2 linked regions of the Lepisosteus oculatus genome follow. The protein of the gene in region 2 binds, or shares a complex with, the protein of the main gene of each other region. Links are inferred from orthologs where the notes say so. Each region holds a gene or a part of one and is shown on either strand. Other genes may lie near its edges.

Region 1 (10,319 bases), on a different chromosome or scaffold from region 2:
GTAACTTCCCGAATCAAGTTTTGGCGGCAGTCCAGCTTTTCTAGTTTAGCTGTCAACCTGCTTGGCAGCAGCCTCATATGATTGCCAGAGAGCTCAATCATGGTAAGGTTTGGCAGACGGAGGCTGCCGTCAATGGAAACTAGCTTGTTATGTGCCACTGACAAAACTGAAAGATGTTTCAAGTGGCCCATTTCCCGACTCCTCAGTGCCCGTATTTGATTCAAATCTAAATTCAGGGACCCGAGTGTCTGAGGGAGATCCTGTGGAACTTTCACAAGGTGATTTCCAGAAAGACTTAACATTTTAAGGGATTGTAAAGATGCAAAAAAGTTTGCCGGTAAAGAGGGAATCTTGTTATTCGCAATGCTTAACTGACGGAGCTGAGGTAGTTTAGGGGAACCCATTAAAGATTCAATTTGATTGCCATCTAGATAGAGACTTTCGAGTTTTAACAGAGAGGTAAATGTGTTCCCTCGAAGGCTGGATATCAGGTTGTTTTGAAGGTCAAGAACGCGCAGGTTTCTCAAACCATCAACAGCTGACTCCTGCAGGTGCTGTATCCTGTTATTTCCCAGTTTGAGGATTTCCAGGCTATGGGGGAGTCCACGAGGCATGTGCTTTAACTTGTTCTTCAGGAGCTCCAGTGTTTTTAGGTGGCTTTGAGACTTGAAAGTGTTCACTTCTATCGATTCTATTCCACAAGATGACAGAACAATTTCTTCAAGTTGTGTCAGTCCAGTAAAATCACATCTCTGAAAAAGTATATAAAAACATTGTATATCTCAGTGATTTCGGCTTAATACCTACATGAAGTCAGTTGCCTAAGACAAAAATTCAGAACAGCTCTATGAATAAATGAATATACTGACATAAAATATTGGATTTAAATCTTGATGAAGGCACACGTACCAAAGATACCAAACATCTGACATTTGATATGAATGGTCATGACTTGTGATAGACACATCTCCAAGCCTAGAAATGGCAGACTACTTAAGTTCAGGGCTTTATAATACAAAATGTCTCCTTTTAGGACACTTCAAAATGGTTTATTAAGAGTTTGTGGTGTGTATTTCAAACCACTGATCATGCTAGACAATTTTTTTTCTTGTTGATTGTTTTCAGTTGCAGGTGTGTCAGTGGAAAATATATCATTCATTACACACATACCTTAATTAACGGGGAATTTTAATTTACATTTCTTTACTGAGTGGTGGTGAATTGTAGTGCCATCATTCTAAAGTAGTAAGATCCTCACTCCTTGTATAGTTTTAGTATAGGACACTTAAGTTCATGAGCAATTAAAATTGATTTTGTGGTTTTATGGACAATTAGGGATTGGACTTTTATATTAATTTTCAGATCATTGAAACCACTGAATAATTGTCTTCAAAGTATCATTCTTTCATAAAACTTAATTGAGAAAAAAATTGATATTTTTATATTGCATTTTAAAAGATAAAAGAAAGAAAATGCCATTATTCTGATACAGTATGTAATAAATGATTCAAAGCATGCCTCATGACTTCCTATCTTTTTGGACATAATGATGAACTGCTACTGTGAGCTACATGCATGATTAATGGATATTAATTTAAGAAAATAACTAATTGAACATACAGCCTACAGAATAACTACAGGACATAAATTGATTTGAGTTTATTATTGTTCAGATGTCACAAACCTTTAATTTATCAGTTAATAGAAAGCCTTCACAAATATGTTTTAGATTGAAATTAATTATACAGATTCACATAAAATATAGAAATAATTTAAAATCTGGAGGATGATGATGGTTTAACGATAATTCATCAGGAATATGTGTTTTTCCTAAAATATCAATATCATAATTTAATATTCACAAATATGTAGATTATGTGTGTGAAAATAATCATACATATTTAATCTATAGCTGCTGTATATCCTAGTACCTTAATCACACACACAAACTTCTTTTTATGTGGTAGGTTGTATTTAAACTTTGATTTTAGAAACGTTTCTAAATCTACATAAATATCATGAAAATTTTACCATCCAAAGAGATTCTGTTTTCTCAAGGATACACAGACAAGAAAACAGACAGGAACAGAATATATTCAAGTAGGTAGCTGCGTCAGCATGCGTAGGCTGCAAAGGAACAGGTAACGAGTTTATATTTCTTTTCAGCATGGAATAAACTCGTTATCTGTTCCTTTGCAGGAACAGAATATGATTCACAGATATGTTTAACTTTTAAATGGACTCCATATTTAACTATTTATACATACATCCTTTATAACCCACTTTTGTACATAGAATATAAATGCTTATATAATCTACACAAAAGCAGCGAACAGTTCGAAATACTGTATTTGTTTAAATTCCAAGGCACAAACCACTTAAACCTTTTTCTCTGTTGCTAAGAGAAGTCTTAAGTCTTCTCAGAAACCTCCTATAAATACTGGTACAAGTGTAAACTCCCCATAGTGCAAATCTCTGAAGGAAGTTTATATCTCTGGTCGGCTTGTTTAGCTTTGCTCTTACCTTTAAATCCTTAATGTGGTTGTATCCTAGATTCAGTTTCCTTGTATCTTTTGCAGTCCCAGACGGTACAGCATGTACCCTGTAGCACTGTATCGACTTTTCGTTTTCACAAATGCAATTCTTTGGACATCCATTGTCATTTAGGCAGTAGCAGAGATGCAACAAGATGCAGATGGAAATTAAAATAAACTGCATGCTGAAAATACAACTAGGGAAGTCACTTTGGTCCAGAGACAGCACTCTCTGTAACCTTCGATCTCTTGTGTGACTTATATAGCAGGACATCCTAAAACCTAATGCTGGTAAGAGAGTGTTTTCTCAAGCCTATTTGGAACAATACTACAGATTTTTATCTTGGTTAAAAAACACCACTTGACACTAACAAGGAACTGACCTAAACAGTAATAGATTGGACCTCTGTTTGTAGACGTGAGAAACTTGCTGATAAACAATTTATTGCCCTTGCTGGTGAGTGCGTGCAATTTCCTTTGCTTTATCCAATTCCTTCCTGGGTGCTTTTTTCAATTTAAATAATAAAGCACTCCATTGAAAGTGTCAGTGGATTTTTCACTTTTAAAATTTTATAAGATCTGCTAAATCCTCCTTGGCTCCTTAAGGAAAAAAATGCCAGAGATTAATTAGCTGTCAGTCTTTTAATTGTGTCTGTGTTGTCATTTGATAACACTTGTTGCCACAGGTGTCCTTGGCTCCCAGTGTGCCTGTTACTCAGGCTTTATCACAAAGAGGGTCACCCAGAGGAAATACTTTTGAAAGAACAACCCATGTGAACTGAGGTTGCTGAATAGGGGTCACAGAACCCGGAGGATTGCTTCATTTGTGGAGCAATAACACCACAGAGATATGTGACCCTCCCAAATAATATGCGATCAAGCCAAGAGATTAAAAGATTCCATCCTTTAAAAGCAAGAGACACTAAAACACAGATCCTACTCTTAGCTTCTGTATCTGCAGGAGTGTGGGATATTTATAATTCATCTGAGAGGGTGTCCTGCTGTGTTGAGATATAAAACATTTTGCTCCCTGTGATAGCTTGGAGATAATGAATATAAAAATATCTTATGTGAGAACAAATAGTTCAATTGTTTTCGTGAGTGCTATAATGGTGAAGTTCAGTATGTTTTCTCATTTATAATGTTTAAGGTAAAAATATGCCTTTTTCACAAGAACAGAAACAGCTTGAACATTGTGCCTGGCAACTTTCAGCAATACTTAGAACAAAACGTTGTATTTGTATTTATTTTAGTCTCCATTGTAATAATCATTTCTACTTCTCTCTTGGCCTTGCAGTTCATCATATTAGTGTCCTTAAACTGGATCCTGTTCATTTTTTAAACTGTTAACAAAAGTATTTTTCCCCAAAAATATTTTTCTTAATTTGATTACTAACGCAATTTGGGGTGTAACTTTGATTCACTTACTTCTGGCATTAACCTGTTCAGTTTTTTTAGATGGATATTTTTTAATAGTTGTCATCCATTCTCCAATCTTTCATTATTTACCCTGTTGCACTCTGGATCTCTCAAATTCCCTTTCATTTCTTTAAAGTCAGTTTTCCTGAAAGTATATATATATTTAAAACTCTTTTGGACTGTACCTACTGTACACAGTTTTAAAAATGTGAATAGCACAACACGTTTTCTCCGTGAATCTGTACCCTATGTTTTATTTATTCTTTGTCAATGTTTTTTTGTCTTCTACTTTAAAATGTTTTTGTGTATGTGGAATATGTGAGTGCAATACAATTTAACCAGCATTTTTTTTACTCCTGGGGTGCTTTATAAATATTTTACGTGGCCAGAGGGTTAGATGCATGCAGTGGTTTTAAAATTTCACAAAATAACAAACCTATTCAGCACGACACCTTTTTTATGCTGAAGAAATACTTGGTAAACGATGTGAGGGGTGGGATTCGTATTTCAGGATCACTCGGTTTATAGGGTGACACTTTTATTTAAAACAATGGATTAATCTTTATCTTAGTGAGATTAGTTCTCATTATACATTACACATGGCACACGGCGTGGCGGTCAGGCTCACGACTTGCGTGTCCTGAGTTTGATTCCGGGCTGCGGTGCCTTTCTGTATGCCTCTTTCCAGGTGCTCCAGTTTCCTCACGCCTTCAGGAACAAGCTTACTAGGTCTCCTGGTGTCAGGAAATTGTCCCCGTGTGTGTGCTCTGACGGATGGACACTTCGTAGAGGATGTAGCGCTGCCATGCACTCTACGTCCGGGATAGTCTCCGGGTTGCCCTGATCTTTTTAAAGGATTTCTGTAAGCGGCTTTTTGATAATTTAGTATTGCACTGCATATTTTCCCGTCGGTATGCAGGTCTTAATGAGCTTGCTTGAGTTACCGGTTCTTCAAACAGCCAGCAGATGGCCATAAAATGTGCTTATAATTGCTTACCTACTAAAAGCTATTGAATAGTAGTCAGTTGATATAAAAAATAATCAAATTAATTCAATTAATAAAAAATAATAAATGAATCAAATATAAAAAATAAAAAATCACCGATATGTCAAGGCATTCTCGCATAACTTTTAATCACACTTTTGCAGATATACGTTTTGACCACTTCTGTAAGATCGGGAGTGAGATTATTTAATTAGTATCATTTTCTTTTTCGTTTTTAAGAAGAATATTAGCCATCGGAGAAATAATTATTTTATTGTGTAATGGTTTTGTTTATATGGCATGAAGTAAACATTTTGGGTATAATTCCATGATAAAACAGCTGATCACACGTGAAGAAATGAGTTTAGACAGATTCCCAAAACGTGATTTTCAGAATGCTTTTTTCAAACACAGCACAGCTCCAGGTAAAATTAAATGGAGGCAATATGTTTTGAGGCTGGGTAAATCACGGTTGTTAGATCTGTAAGTAGAACTCCCTCAGGTCTGCGTATCCTGTTTTGACGCTCTAAATCGATTATCTCTTTACTCTCTTGCTTTTTCTTGACGCAGGTCCAGCTGTGTGGCAGGCAATGATAGTCAATCACAGACTCGCAACCAATCCGCACTTCGGATTTCCTGGTCCGCAGAAGCCGGACGGTACGGTAGAAAACAGGGTTGGCTAAGACGACAGAGCGTGGTGTAGGATAGTAATATTTTATTTGTAATAAATAGATACAAAAATAAACTAGAAAAGTGATTAATTTATTATCGAAAAGGTGCTGCCTAGAATTGACAAGTAGTAATTCGTCGCTTGCAGTATCTGTGATGTCTGCGACGGCCGGCGGTGTCTCACCAGCCCCTCAGGGCTCGGCTCTCAGTGGTCCCGGTTCGGGAATGTCAATGTTCCGATGGTTGGAGGTCCTGGAGAAGGAATTTGACAAGGCTTTTGTGGATGTGGATCTGCTCCTCGGAGAGATCGACCCCGATCAGGCTGACATCACCTATGAGGGCCGTCAGAAAATGACCACTCTGAGTTCCTGCTTCGCTCAGCTGTGCCACAAGGCTCAGACCATCTTCCAGTTAAACCACAAACTGGAGGTAAGCACTCGGACACAGAGCATGTTAAAAGTGCCCGACGCCAGACGCCAGACGAGACCTGTACGGCGATTTATTGATTAGGGAACATGGCGTAGCTTTGCAAGTTAAGTCACATTCGCAGTGCCGTGAAACCCAAGAAGTATGCTTTATTTTAAAGTTCGTTTCTGTACTTGTATGTCAGTTGTGTTTGCCTAAAAACATTGCTCTGAAAACACAGTCAGAAGATAAGATAATTTAAACCATTAGCTAAAGATTTAGCACAAATTTGTCTTACTGAACATGGAATTTATACCTAGCTGTTCAGAGGAATTAACTTATGTTCATTGTGTGTTTTGGTATCTTTAGCGTTTCTTTGAGGTGTCACCAGAAGCTTTAGTTACTGATGTTAGAATTATGCAAGATGTATATCAGATATATTTTAACCTCAAATACTTTTATTTTAAACCAAACTAGTCTTTGCTTTCTCTTTATCTCAAGTACTTACTGTTGGCTAAGACAATAAGAATAGAGTTAATAACATTTTTACCTGGCGTTTGGCAAAACCTCATAACATTTTTTAGTATGTTTGTTTTTGTTTTCTGATTTGTATAACACATTGGCTTTTTACTTTATAAGGTCACGTGAAGGACCACATTTGAAATTGTGAAATAGACATACAATATCCACTTCCTTGATGTGTTTTGTTGGATTTTGATTTTAGGGGTTACCTCAGTCCTGTGGAGTAAAACTCAGTAAACATGAGTTGTAATTGTACTGTGCTGTACTTCAGTTATATGGTAAGGTTTACAGGCTGGTGGTTTCTGAGAAGAAATCATCCAGTTCTGCTAGTGTGCAACAGAAGGCACAAGACAACTCTTTTGTAGATGACAAAGAAGCTTTAGAGCAAACAAGTAGAAATCAATTTCTTTATAAATCTTATTTAAGGTATCATCATTGTAATTCTTAAAACTCACAAAATATTGAGTTAAAGATTTTAAATAATTTGTGCCCTATCAAGCATTTTCTTGTGTCTGGAAAAAAGTAACATTTATGTTAAATGTAAAATGCAGGATCTTCTTCACACTTGTTAATTCCCTTTTGTAGTGAGTGGCAATTCAATTTTCTGTCATGTAACACTTGTCTTTTAACTGTACTGTGTGCTGTGCTAGTGGTTTTCTAATCCATCACCAAATGGTCTTATAAAAGCAAGCTCTTCTACCATTGGTTTAACTGGTGTGTCTCATTTTATACTTAAAAGAATGGATAGTACCCAGGCTAGAATGTGAATGGTTTGTAAGGCCTGATCTTTGAGTAAACTGGCTACATTATATACATTACAGAAGTCAGTCAACGTTTTGTGGTGTGTACTGTATGAAGGAATATATATATGCACAGTTAGAATGAAACTAAAGTTCAAGAAGGTATAATTTGTAAGGTACATAATGTAAAAATGTTTTATTATTTGTGCCTTTAGAGATGCATAAATGTGATACTGAATTGTTTTGGGGGGTTTAATAAGCCATCAATAATATGCTGTAGTAGGAGAGGCAATAACTTCACTGTTGACAGTAAGGTTGTTTTGTACGGAAAAGTTAAAGAGAAGAAATAGTCAGTACCCATGTTTGGCATACTTCATCAACTGAATTTCCTAAAAATAAAACCTTAAAATGGAGTTATATGAAGTTACAATTTCAGTTGAGAATATATTTTAATGAACTGTAGAGCGACTGGGGATTTCACCTTCTTAAAAATCTTTTAAGTAGAAATAATGAAGATCATCACATACTGTACAGTGCCTTGCAAAGTGGTTCCTCCCTACTAAGAGATGGAAACAGTGCTAAGGGTGGTTCCACCAAATACGTCTACGCTAGGTTTTGATTCTTCTTTGCAGGTTTTCTGTCATTTAACATTTTGGACCGATAAAAGTATCTAGTTTAAGCACTCAAGTTTTGATTGAAAATACTCACTTTAAAAAATGTGTATGCATCATTTGTAATTCAACAAAATGAGACATAACTGTAAGGGAGAATATGCTTTTGCAGGGCACTTCGTCTTTATCAGAAGCAGTATTTTTTCATATCAGATTTTTCTGTAAATGACTGCCGCAGCCCAGGAAGAAAATAAGCTCTGGTTAAAGACATGTCACGCTACTGGGCAGTGTATAATAATAATAATAATAATAATAATAATAATAATAATAATAATGTTTCTTTATTAGCCCTGTACAATATATTGCATTAGGACTTAATCTTTTCGCATACCCCAGCTTTTCTCCATGAGACACAGGACACAGACAGGAAGAGAAGCTTGGGGTCAGAGCACAGAGTCTGCCATTGTACGGCGCCCCTGGAGCAGTTGGGGTTAAGGGCCTTGCTCAGGGGCCCAACAGAGTAGGATTCCTCTGCCGGCTGCGGGATTTGAACTGGCAACCTTCCAGTCACAAGCACAGATACTACTAAGCAAAACATTTTAGTTGATCCCTAGAGAAACAAAAAAAATTCACAAGCAGACAGAAATGCTTACTGCCACTTAGTATGTCCAGAGCCTTTCCAGGAGCACTGTTCCTCTGCATGATATTTTAGACACCTAGATATTGATAGCAGCACCTGGAGGTTATGGAGTTCAAAGCTACATTATACAGTCCCGGCATTCCTCAAACTCACTGAACATAGTAGTTTTCTGAAAGGTCAAAAATGAGGCCATCTATGCAGACAGATCAGTGAGGGTGCTAACTATTGGTTTCTAATAACAGCACCTTAGTCTCCAAAGACAGCCAGAATGTAAGCAGCTAAGTATACCGTGACCAAGAATAATTTGAAGTCAACCACATCTCTGAAACTGCATTATTTACCTGTTGATGGTGACTCAGTACACTCTGTCTGTACCCAGACTGGTCTTGTGGCCAAGTAGGTTCTGCTAGCTGTACTACAGTCCGTAGCCACAAGAAAGGCAGGTTAAAAAAAGCAACATGTACTCAAAGGTGTTACTGCATCGTTACCTTCATATCTTCTTAAGGTGATGTAATCTTAGCCAAGCCCATTACTTCATCTGAGTAAAAATATATTTTTTATAGAATTTAAAGTCTGAATTGAATTTTACCATGAAAGAAATTAAGGAATAAAATATTGTAGTTCAGGTTGTAGATTATGCCGGTTCAGGGACGCCAAATATGTAATCATAGTGGCTCTCTGAAGGCACCAGTTCTGTAGGGTTTGGGCATTTACTGAGACAATTTTTAATTGTAGCAGTAAATCACAAAGTTGATTCTTTTGGTGGCTTTAGAATCCAACCATGCGACATAACTCAAACAACGCGCACACACAGGTACTAATACACGAGGATACATTTATTAATACATAGAATATGCATATAAACCTAACAGATCTTATCGAGAGGGTTATCAGAATACAAAAGATATATATTCAATCAGTTACAAAGAGTTACACATAAAGAGGACATACGTTCAGTATATCATTCATTAAGACCGTTTCGTAAAGTGAACTTGGTTACAACTTCTACATTAGATACTCAAACAAGTACATAACTCTTAGGAATTAAATTGATATCAACTGGTTTGGATAACAATTGAATTCTCGAGCTATAATGCATTGAAGTTGAATACTCATCCAATCTTTGGGGATTCAGATCTCCTGCGGGCACAAAGAAACAGTTGCAGGCCGTTGCTGTCCAATCCGCGCTCTCTGGCTCGGTGCCAGGCTGTGCTGTGCGGCTTGCGACGGTGCGCTGCTGATGCTCATTGTTGGCTTTAACTAGCAAAGTTTGTGCACAGGAGAAAAGATGACTGTGGGTCCCAGCAAGTCAGGAAGAGGACCGGTTCGTTCCTGATGAAGAGCTAGTTCTGAATAGTGATTCAGCTGTCCACAGTTCCGACCTGTTCACGAGGCCTGCTGCTGGTTACTCTCTGGCAACCTCCACTCTAGACTCTTAGAACAAAGGAAAGTTCTGGCACTCGGACACACTGGCCGTTCCGTGGTTGTCCGGGCTGAGTCTCAGGATGGTCAGGAGGCGCGCTGCGAGAATGTCCTGCCCTTGGGAGCCTTCTGCTCCTGGGCCGTCCTGCCCTGGAATTCTCCTTTGAATTCCCTTTAGAACAGTCCACAGAATCCTCTCCAGAATCCCTTCTGAATCTGAATCTTGTTGAATCTCCCAGGCTCTCTGTGTTGCCTGTTTTTTACCTGGAGGAACTTCAGCTCATTGATTGGCTGAAAGTTCCATGGGCATCAGAGTCCCACGTGGGTTACTCGGCCCTACCAGTCCCTGATTGGTTGATCAAGGTGAGATAT
Region 2 (10,523 bases):
TCAACTTCTTGATGCATGGCGATTTTTTTTATTTAACTGCGAACAGCAAGTCGCCTTTGCTATGGATAGCCGCGAGACCAAACCGACCGAAACGCTAACCCGTGCGCGACCCACGGTGCTCAGTCTTCCGTGTACATGATTAAGGTCTGTAAGGTATTGTCAGACGCGTGTATGCTGCAGCTAAGTGCATGCTATATTAAAACCTTATGGGGTATCTTTTCGCGGTTAGTGCAGGGCCCCCAAAACTCTGGGAGCGTTGAACTGGAGTGCCAACAGGACTGAAAAACCTAAACATGTACCGTACAATTCACTAAATTGTACTCGTCATCAAAGATTCAGTAAATGTTAGAGACCAGACATAAACAAACATCCAATTTTCAGCGCTGGTGAACACAGACGTTTTTTTTTAAATGTTAATAAGTCTTTTTCCCCCCCTGGTGTATAGGCTACTACCACCGGTACCCCCGCACTGCAGACAAAGAAATTCTGCCTTTGAAATCCCAGCTGCACAGACATTGAAAAACTTCTAGTAATTTGATAGGATACGGATACTTAGCAAGGAAAGACGTGCTGATTAGACGATCTAAAAACCAGCTGCTGGAAGGTCTATTATCCACAACAACCTGGACCCTATACAAATAAGCTTTTGTGACTAAGAAACATATACTGTATATAAACTGTATACTGTAAATGTATTGTAAATGTATTGTTACTGTCTGTCAGTCTCTCTGTGGCCCAGTCTTTCTGAAGTCCACCAGAGGTAAAACGTTCAAGATCTCATTTTGGGGTCTGTTTGCAGTGCCCAATACAAACTTCTAACAATCTTACCGTGTTCCCGTGATAAGGTGGCAGTGATCTATGCAGAACCCAACTATTACATTCCCCATGCATTTCATCAGTGTGTAGCCCCTGCTTGTAGAGGAAACCATCCTGATTCTAAATATTACCATGATCGGTTTTACAAGAAGGCTTTATTACATGCTTATCCTGTACTGTAATTTTCTTCGAAGGAATCTAGCGATTTGTATGGTAATAGAACAGGGTTAACTTGGTCCTTGAACTTGTTACAGTGATGTAATCTGCTAGAAACCTCGATAGCCTTGAATTCTCCAGTGTCTGGTCTTTTGTGTAGCAGAACTTACTGGTGTCTGAAGAGCAACTATGGGACTGAGAGATGGGAAGAGATGGACTGAGGTCCTGACAAAAAGACGCACACACCGAGACAGTTAATATTAATAATCTGCTGATTTATAAATTCAGGACAGCAGTGCTTTTACAATGGCCATGACTGCTAAATTAGGGTTTCTGCCCACTGTCAGCTTATTTTGCTCACAAGTCCCAGTTTATACACTGTAGTTCTGTACTTCCTCTTCATATACTGTAACTTTACCTTTTTTTGTTACACAGTGAACATCTTTATTGTTCTGCATTGAAATGGTTTGCTGGTCAAATGTCATTTCAGCGTGTGCTTCAGTGAACTCATCTTAATGAAAGCTACAGTATACTGTACTTTGAAATGGGTTCTCTGTCTTTGTACAGGCTATCTCCTGTGTTTTTTATTGTTTTATCCCACAACAATTTGAATATAAACTATTATCACATGCTGTCGGTGTGTTTCATGAAGACACTGCAGTAGAAAGGTTAGTCATGGGATAATGCTACAGAATGTACTACAGTCTGCCTTATATAGTGGTTCAGGTGGGTAGCTGCATCAGCATGCGTAGTCTGCAAAGGAACAAGTAATAGGTTTATTCCATGCTGAAAAAAGAAGAGAGAAAACACAACGTTTTGGCTGTGAAGCCTTCTTCAGGTGTCCTGAAAAAATAGTTTTATGCATCGTTCAGAATAACACAGAATATAGTTTATTTTATATGCAGACAGCAAAAACCACATCATCCTTAAAATATTTTGCTCGATTACCTGCTTTGCTTTGAATTTTTGTTGGTGCTCTTGTTAAATGATGACTCCATGCTTGGTGGCTAGTCTTACCATGATTAAAATGTTCTGGGCTTTTTGGTGGCCATCTCTTCTTCCCACTATCTGACATCATTGGATCCTGACTTTTCCAGTCATCATTTGTGTAGAGTATTTTATTTCTCAGGTTTTTGGTGCCAGGATGGGAAGCACCTTGGATGTACAGTATGGGGCACTGGTGGTCCAGCCTGGTCAAGCCTGGATTTACTGTACAGTGGGTCCATTACTTTTGTGTGATTTAATTTATGGCATCTTTTTGCAGCATACTGTCAAAACATCTTTTTTTCACCTTAGAAATATCGCTAGACCATGCCCTATGCTATCAATAACTGTGGCTGAAAAGCTGATCAACACATTTGTGTTCTCTCGAATTGACTACTGTAATGCTCTACTCGCTGGGGTATCTAAATCTACTCTGAACAAACTGCAGTACTGTATGTCCAAAATTCAGCAGCCAGAATCCTGACCAGGTCTAGTGCAAGTGTACACATTTCTCCTATCCTGGAGTCCTTGCACTGGCTTCTGGTCAAATTCCGTGTGGACTTTAAAATCCTCATGCTCACCTATAAGGCTCTGCATGGCTTGGCACCTCAGTACCTGTCTGAACTATTATCGCCCTATTCCCCGCCTCACAACCTTCGCTCTTCTAATTCTGGTCTCCTAACTGTCCCCCAAGCCCGTCTACATTGTATGGGTGACAGGGCCTTCTCCTGTTATGTCCCCAAGGTCTGGACCTCTCTGCCCAAGAATATCAGAGAGTCACCTTCTCTAAACTCCTTCAAATCCAGACTCAAAACCCTCTTCTTTAGAAAAGCCTTTACTTATCTGGTTCCATTCTTTACCCCTCTGCTTTTCTTAGTACCACCATCCATGGTCTCCTGTATATATTGTAATTGTGTTTTATCTTGTGTATTCTTCTTATTTATTGTTGTTGTCATCTTGTAAAGCGCTTTGAGAAGCCACCTTTAAAGGCGCTATATACAGTAAAATAAAGTGTATTATTATTATTATTATTATTATTATTATTATTATTATTATTATTATTATTATTATTATTATCTTTTGGCTGGATATTTGGAGTGCGAGTGACCGGAGATGGGGGTGGTTGATAGGGTGGGAAAAATGTTGTTTTTCTTTTGTTTGGGGAACCTTTATATTGTATTGATTCTGTCTGTAGGAAAAAAGAATGGCAATGTACTCCAAAATAGAACAAACACTTGAGTTCTCAGGCAGGCATGTGTGTTGGATCACTTTTCAGCTCAGCTTGACAATATCTTTGTTCACAAGGTTTGAGTTTCTCTTTTTTTACGTCTGTCTGGCTAAAACACTCCGAGGTATATATATATAAAACAATACTTATTTTGCAAATATAAGCATTTGTTCTATTTTGGGGCATGTTCCTATTTTTATATACTATTTTATTTGACTTGGAGGACTTTTTTCTGGGCTTGATAGAAGGGCTTGTTCCCTTTATTTGGATGGATGCTTTTTTGGGCAAGATAGTCACTGGCACCTGTGATTGTTTTATTTCGAGTCAGTTATGTTTTCAAAAATGTATAAAAATGTATTCAGTGAGAGACTGGAAGCAATGTTATGGAATGCTCTGACAAAAAAGTAATCCTCTACTGTTCTGGAAATTTCTATTACTTACATAATGTGTTTTTATATGTTTTACTGGGATTAGGCTTGGTTTGTGAGCTTGGTACCTATTGGAACACCACCCTCTACAATTAATAAGCCATTTTACAGCAGCCTTTCAAAATTATTCTTTACATTATTGGAGGTAATAAAAAAAATGTATCTGTCTCATGCTTTGCCTTGACTTTGTTTCCAAATGTTAAGAATATTCAAATACAAATCCATTGCGGTTTTCTGTGTTTTGATAGATAGATACTGTACTTTATTGATCCCGTGAGGGAAATTGCAGTGCAACAGCAGCTTAACACAGACAACACAGTCACAGTGTAACGAATGATACAATAATAATAATACAATACAATCAGTACAGTGAGGGGTGCACTAAAAGAGTTACCCACAGTCCGGACACATAAAGAACAAACTAGAACAGAACAGTACACAGAAAAATCATATTACACATATGAATATAAATATAGATGTAAATATAGATATAGATATAAATATAAATATAAATGTATTGCACAGGTCCCTGGCATATATTGGCAAAAAACGGTTGTAGACGGGAAAGGAAAAAGAAAGAGAACAGATGTAGCAGTAGATGTGTAGATGCGTTCAGTCCAGAAACAGGTCACTGTCGATGTTGCCTCTGCCCAGACGCAAGGTGGATGCGTTGTACAGTCTTATGGCAGAAGGCAAGAATGACCTCCTGTAGCGCTCCCTGTCGCACCGTGGATGAATCAGTCAGAGTTGAAGCTCTAGGATGGGCTCATAGATCAACCCCTACCTCACCGAAGAGTTTTTGTGGCTCAGGTTAAAATGCATTCATTAGACGTCCACTCAGGTTACTTCTGAACCATCAGCAGTAGCTGTGCTTCACCGTTTTTATCTGTGTTCCACAATGGAATGTCTAAACCTTTTTAATCCTTAGAAAATATGTAGGAAACTTGAAGCTAACAGAAAGTTCCCAGTATCAGTAACAGTTACTTTGTTTTAGTTAATTAAGAATATTAAGCTGAAAAGTCTACACCCATTTCGGTGCATACAGTAGAAATGAAAAACAAACACTGCATCTGTACATTATAATAAAAACATGTTCCTATAAAATAATTGAAGATTTAAAGCAGAAAAAGATTTGATTTAACTTTAGTCAGTTTTGTAGAATGTTTCAATATACTGTACAATAGCAGTGATTTAGGTCTCTGAAGGTCTTGTTTGTAGCATTGAAATACTGAACAGCTCCTCCAAAACAGCAAAGATAGCACTAAAGTACAAACAGCTACAGTATGTAAAAGCTTTAAAGAAGGTTGTGGGGGAGGATTGCTGGGCATGAGATGCAGCTGGTTCCCAAGTTTTGAATGCTGAAATGTGGTAGCAGTTGTTTTTTTGTAAATGTGCAAAAAAGATCATTAATACTGTATGCTTGAGTTGTGCTTGTAGGTGCTGAGAAAAAGAAAAAGCCTCTTTGGTTTGGAAAAGTGTTATTCCATAGGTTTTGTTTGGTCTCATGTTCTTATGTTGTAAGCAGTGTTTCACCGACCCCTACGTTTAGCACTGCATGCGGTCTAGATTGGAATATTTGTTTCTTTAGTGTTTCTTTTTGATCACCTCTCCAGAGTTCTCTGAAATTTTCATCTAATTTTGGAAAAAAGACTTACAAACAAATATTTTAGTTTTCCCTTGTGTGATGAGAACCATGTTAGCTTTCTTACTATTTTCCCTGTTGAAGACACCTTAGATGTTGTAACACAGTAAGGTTATTTAGGTATTGAATTCACATATAATTGAAATACAAAAATTATTTCTTATTTAAGATTAAATAAGTTTACATAACTTTTTATTTTTAATAATGTTTGTTTCTGTATTGATTGCCTTACACTCTGTATGTTATGGGGGTCAGGTTAATATTTATTGCTCCTCTTTAAAGCTTTGAAAAGATAAGAATGATGCAGTATATACCTGTATACAAAGTAAAAAAACATGAGTTATAGAGTAACTTTGTTTCAAATAAAAGTTTGCCGACACATTATTACATGACTGTTTACAAAATTTTATTTCATTTTTCAGTGTTGTGTGGTACAATCAAGACTTACAGATGAATGCTTTGCTTTGCAAATGTTTATGGATGTAAACACTGACTAAACATAAATATCTTAAATCAGAAACAGGAAAGCATGATGCATTGCCACCCTTTGATGTTTACAGTTGAAACAGAAATGTCAGAACAGACATGTGAGAAGTTAATCTTATATTCTTAGGCGTTTAGGACAGAATTAACAAATATAGATGCTAATACACTGCTTAAATTGCATGAAGCTGTGTGACACAAAGAGCCAAGATGCAGTTCAGGAGGAATTGCTAATAAGGGATATTTAAAAAAGAAATGCTTGGAGTAAATGACAAAATTGTCTGCTGCATTTTTTTTTCTGAAGATGGATATGCAGATTCTACCTTTATTCTTACCCGTTTTAGGAATAGGTTTGGTTGTTACCATAATTGTGAATTCTCCTGTGACTACTGTACAAATTGCATTTAAATTATTTTTTAAAATAATTGTCTTGAAAGTCTTCAATAAGATACAGCAGCAAAAAGAACTTTCTTGATATTTGTCGTCAGTTATAAAATAATAGAAATCACAATTTTGTATTATGTACCATACTGCAATTTAACACTTAATGCTCTGTGAAAATGGTGTTCATTCCCCAGTTCATTTCTTCTTGTCCGTAAGAAAACGCTTTAATGATATTGAGACTTAAACATCTTGTCAAACGCCTTGGCCGAAATAAGAATTCCCCTGCTGTTTTTTTGCGCAATGTTGCCTAAATGGAAATCAAAACTTCAGAATGAAATCTGGCAGAGGTGGGTCGCACACTGCTATTCAAAATCAGTCCCTTTAATGTACTGAGTGTTCTAGGTTAACAGACTGAGGAGAAAATATTCAGTGAACGCAGAACACACAAGGAATTTATCGTGGGCTCTGAGCGTGGAGTTCGACAGCGCAACTCTTCAAACCTTCTGGTTTGTCCTTCGCACACGCTATAACCAGGGCAGAGCCAATTAAACCAGTGACATCACCGCACACATATCTTGACATGGAGAACAAAACCGGGGACTTGATTCAATTTTGGAGACTTTACAGATGACCAGTTTAACCAGCACATCTCTCAGGTGCACGGAAGCTGTTTTAGAATGCAGAAATCACCTGCAGAAGATGCTAACGCCTTCTCGAGATTTTTTTTCTGGTAAGTGTTTTTTTTTACTCTAGTTTCAGTCAAGGATAAAAATGAAACCACGATTCTTTTCTTCTGTCATGGAAATTGAAAGAAAGTTTTGCTAAAGTTTTGCAGTGCAGATGTGAATCTGCATTTAGCTTATTCGTTTTGGTAGTCCTAATATTTTTTTAGAAATACTGTATGTACTTTCCCCTGCACGTGGTTCATTAACCTGCTGTTTGATAATTATATAGCATGACTTTTCTTACTTTCATTTTTATATTGAAGTTTGAAAATATAATACGACTAACAGATTAATTTATTTACCTTGTCCGAAGTTATTTCAGAACTTTATGAAGTGCACCTGCAGCGACGTGCCTGAGGATCAGATTTCATTAAAGCTTTCCCGAGTTATAGGAAATTAAGAAGTCAGCTATTGTTTAATGAATTCGCATTTTTTAATTCGATTTTCTTATATGATGTGGTTATGAGTTAACTATTGTTAAACATTGCCAGTGTTTTTTTTAAATACTTTGGAGCGGGAGATCTTCTTGGTGTCAAAATGTGAGAATACAATTATCACAAATGAAAGTATTGAAAGCTGTGAAGTAATTCATCATTAGTTTTCTTCACGTAAAACGTAGTTTTAGAAAACATGTACTCTAGTAAATAGCGAAAACCGTAACTACTGCTGAGTAGATACAAGTAAATACACCAGTGTGTTTTGTACAACTTTTTCAACTACTGTATGTGTTAAAAGCTTGCATAATTGTTTGTGTTGTATATTCTTTCCATAATATATTAAATTTAATCACAGACAACATTTGTTCTAGGAGAAGCAGTGACTGAACCATTGTGACATTGTTTGTATACTTACTGTAGATGACAGTTGTTTCTCAATAAAGGCAATTAGGTTATAATAATTACAAACAAAGATCCCCTTCACACTCTATTTACTTAAGTTTACAATAGATACTATTGACATGTATGATATCTGTCATAAATCTGTGAATGTAGATCTATGTTCAGTAGGTAGTAGTGGCATTTATAAATCAGTGATACATCTGTGAATGTACTGTAGGTCTGATTTATGATGATTTGTTTTTTTTTTTACAGGTGGGCTTCACCAATTTTGAGAAAGGGATACAGGCAGAAATTAGAATTATCAGATGTTTATCAGGTGCCTTCATTTGACTCGGCTGACCATCTTTCTGAAAGACTAGAAAGGTTTGCATTTATCGCAATCTTTCACTGAAGCTTTCACGCGCAACGTCCAGAAAATTGTATTTTTACCTTTAATTGCAATAATACCTTAATCTGACTATTTTAGTCTTTGAGTACAAATATTTATTGATATATCCATTATATATAACATTTCTGTTCTGTATGTACATTAAAGAAAAACACTATAAATAACTCTTTCTTGTTACCCTTTTGTGATATGCACTGTAACCATCATCTTATGTTTTGAATAGCAGGTCCTTTAGTTGACCTGCTATTCAAGTGTATTTCCTACTGTATTTCCAGAGAAACCCTGTACAGTACTTGTTTTAGCAACTGAAACTTTCAGCTGTAGGTCTTACTTGAAATGTGGGTAGGCATTTGAGACACCAGACACTGTGAAATATTCCCAAAAAACACACGCCTTACCCATCGTATCTCTAGCAGTCTATGCGGCTATATTGCCGATTATAATTAAAAAGTCTTGCAAATGTCACCAATTAGGATATTTGCCATTGAAAGCGCAGGCCACCCCCAAATGTCACCTCTGTCATTCTTTAAAGACACAAACATGCGACTTAAAAGATGTTTGCCCTTGTTTTTACCCTGTTTGGGACTGGAGCTCCTCCAGGCCCTTATTTTTACCATTATTTGTGTATTTCTCTTTAGATCTCAGCAGTTCTCTTACATAAGCATGAAACGTGACCTTTTAAACTGCCAGCCCCCTGTTGGGTGATATATAGTTAGCCATTTTTAATCAGCCAAAAATGTGGTCTACTGGGAATTTGAACTTTTATTCAATTAACAAGTTGGTACCCTTTCGATCTTCAAGGTCTCTGTGTACTTTACTGTTTAATAAGTTAGCCAGATCTCCCTGGTTATACGTGAGTCAACCTAACTATGTGAAAAAAGCTGTGTAGTCTGTTTCCACACAGTGACAGTTTTCTAATTGCCTTGTTTTCGGTCTTTGGTAGAGAATGGGACAGAGAACTTGCATCATCGAAGAAAAATCCCAATCTTCTCAATGCCATTCGCCGCTGTTTCTTCTGGCCCTTTGCCTTTTATGGAGTCCTGTTGTACTTTGGGGTAAGTTTCTGACTCTTAAGTTGTATCTAAAACAGGATGAAAAGAGATTTAATAAGAACAATATACAGTATGGGTTTCATTATTTAAGATGCTCTCATTTGTATTTGATATTAACATTTAATTATACTTATTTCGCAGTCCCATTCAAAATTAGGATGTTCTGCATTAGATGACCAATTAAGTAGGCATACTCCTTAATTCAGTAGCTATTATCTGTGTGGACCTATGACGTTATTTTATTATCAACTGGTGTTTGATGTGTTCCGTAGTGGAACACTTCAGAAACGCAACATTTGTAGTCTTAATACTAATAATTCTTAAGTTTTGTGAATGTTAATCGAGAAATCCAAGCATATTTTCATATACCTGCAATAACAATCCATTTTAATATGAAAAAAAACAAACAAAACTGTGGCAATAGGGCTGCAATAAGAACTGTGAGGATGTGTTTTTGTACAGTATGTGCAAAGGTGATGTCTGCTTGCATCTGTCTGCATGAATGGCACACAGATTCTCAAGCTTTTAATAAAAAAACATCAAAGTCAAGTCTGAGAAAAAGTGGCATCAAGTTTGGGAATTTTGTTTGCATAGATATCACAAAACACACTCAATAGTTGCATTCAAGGTCCATTCATCTATCATCAGATTTAAAGGAGACACTGGGGATTGTTTCCACACAGGAACAGTTATGGTTGCAGACTCAACTGGTAATTATTAAACAACAATAACCTGATAATAAACACCATTCTCCCCAAGAATGGGAACCACCTGACAAGAATATCAAGCTGCTCAGTTGCTTCTTCAATTGTTTCTTTGAAACAACGAAGGCTAAGATATTTTTCTCTACCTAGTTCACGTCCTGTGTCACATACAGTACATTAGCAGACTGTATATACAGTACTGACCATTAATAGGAATGTCATATGCATTGTTTGCTCTGATGAATATCCTGTAGTTTGATGCAGTGACTATACAGTGTGTGTAGTGGTCTCATCTGGCAATGATTCAGCATTTGCATACCGGATAAAAATCAAAAGACTAAGTGAGGTCTGTGTTGGGGAACAAAAACATTTTGGTGGCAATAGCCATATCGGTGTGGAAGACCATTACTGCTGACTTTAGGATTCAGCTTGCTGCCAATGGTCATCGCACATCACGGTCTTATACTGAGCATTGTTCAAAATCTGTGCCCCATTAACCAACTCGGCAACACTAAAGTCATTACAATCCCCGAATCTTTTCATTTTGGAATCCGTGTGCCCACATGGCAATGGTTATCAAAGACATTCTGTGTCCTTCTAGAATTAGTATCATGCATTGGCCGACTTTTTATAACAAGACGTTATAACTTAGACGTCCTGAGCACCTGTGTGTTGGGCTGGGTTGACAGATCTC

Evidence for each region.
Region 1: the proteins of cftr (region 2) and gopc are in contact, whole or in part, in an NMR structure (PDB 2LOB), measured with the Homo sapiens proteins. The link is inferred for Lepisosteus oculatus from reciprocal best matches to the Homo sapiens genes CFTR and GOPC. Residues at the interface, in NP_000483.3 of Homo sapiens: Val1475, Gln1476, Asp1477, Thr1478, Arg1479, Leu1480; in NP_065132.1 of Homo sapiens: Gly298, Leu299, Gly300, Ile301, Ser302, Ile303, Thr304, Gly305, Glu308, His309, Glu317, His319, Thr347, Lys348, His349, Lys350, Glu351, Val353, Leu356.

What each region holds. Positions count from the first base shown.
Region 1 is NC_090697.1:32,948,058-32,958,376, reverse strand, and holds the start of gopc (Golgi-associated PDZ and coiled-coil motif-containing protein), read left to right. Parts: upstream 1-5,519; 5' UTR 5,520-5,763; coding exon 5,764-6,036; intron 6,037-10,319. Other genes in the region: nephrocan-like, read right to left, coding at 1-752, 2,524-2,718.
Region 2 is NC_090702.1:45,442,346-45,452,868, forward strand, and holds the start of cftr (cystic fibrosis transmembrane conductance regulator), read left to right. Parts: upstream 1-6,450; 5' UTR 6,451-6,798; coding exon 6,799-6,851; intron 6,852-7,937; coding exon 7,938-8,048; intron 8,049-9,016; coding exon 9,017-9,128; intron 9,129-10,523. Other genes in the region: asz1 (ankyrin repeat, SAM and basic leucine zipper domain-containing protein 1), read right to left, coding at 1-17. UniProt on the Homo sapiens protein: Epithelial ion channel that plays an important role in the regulation of epithelial ion and water transport and fluid homeostasis. Mediates the transport of chloride ions across the cell membrane.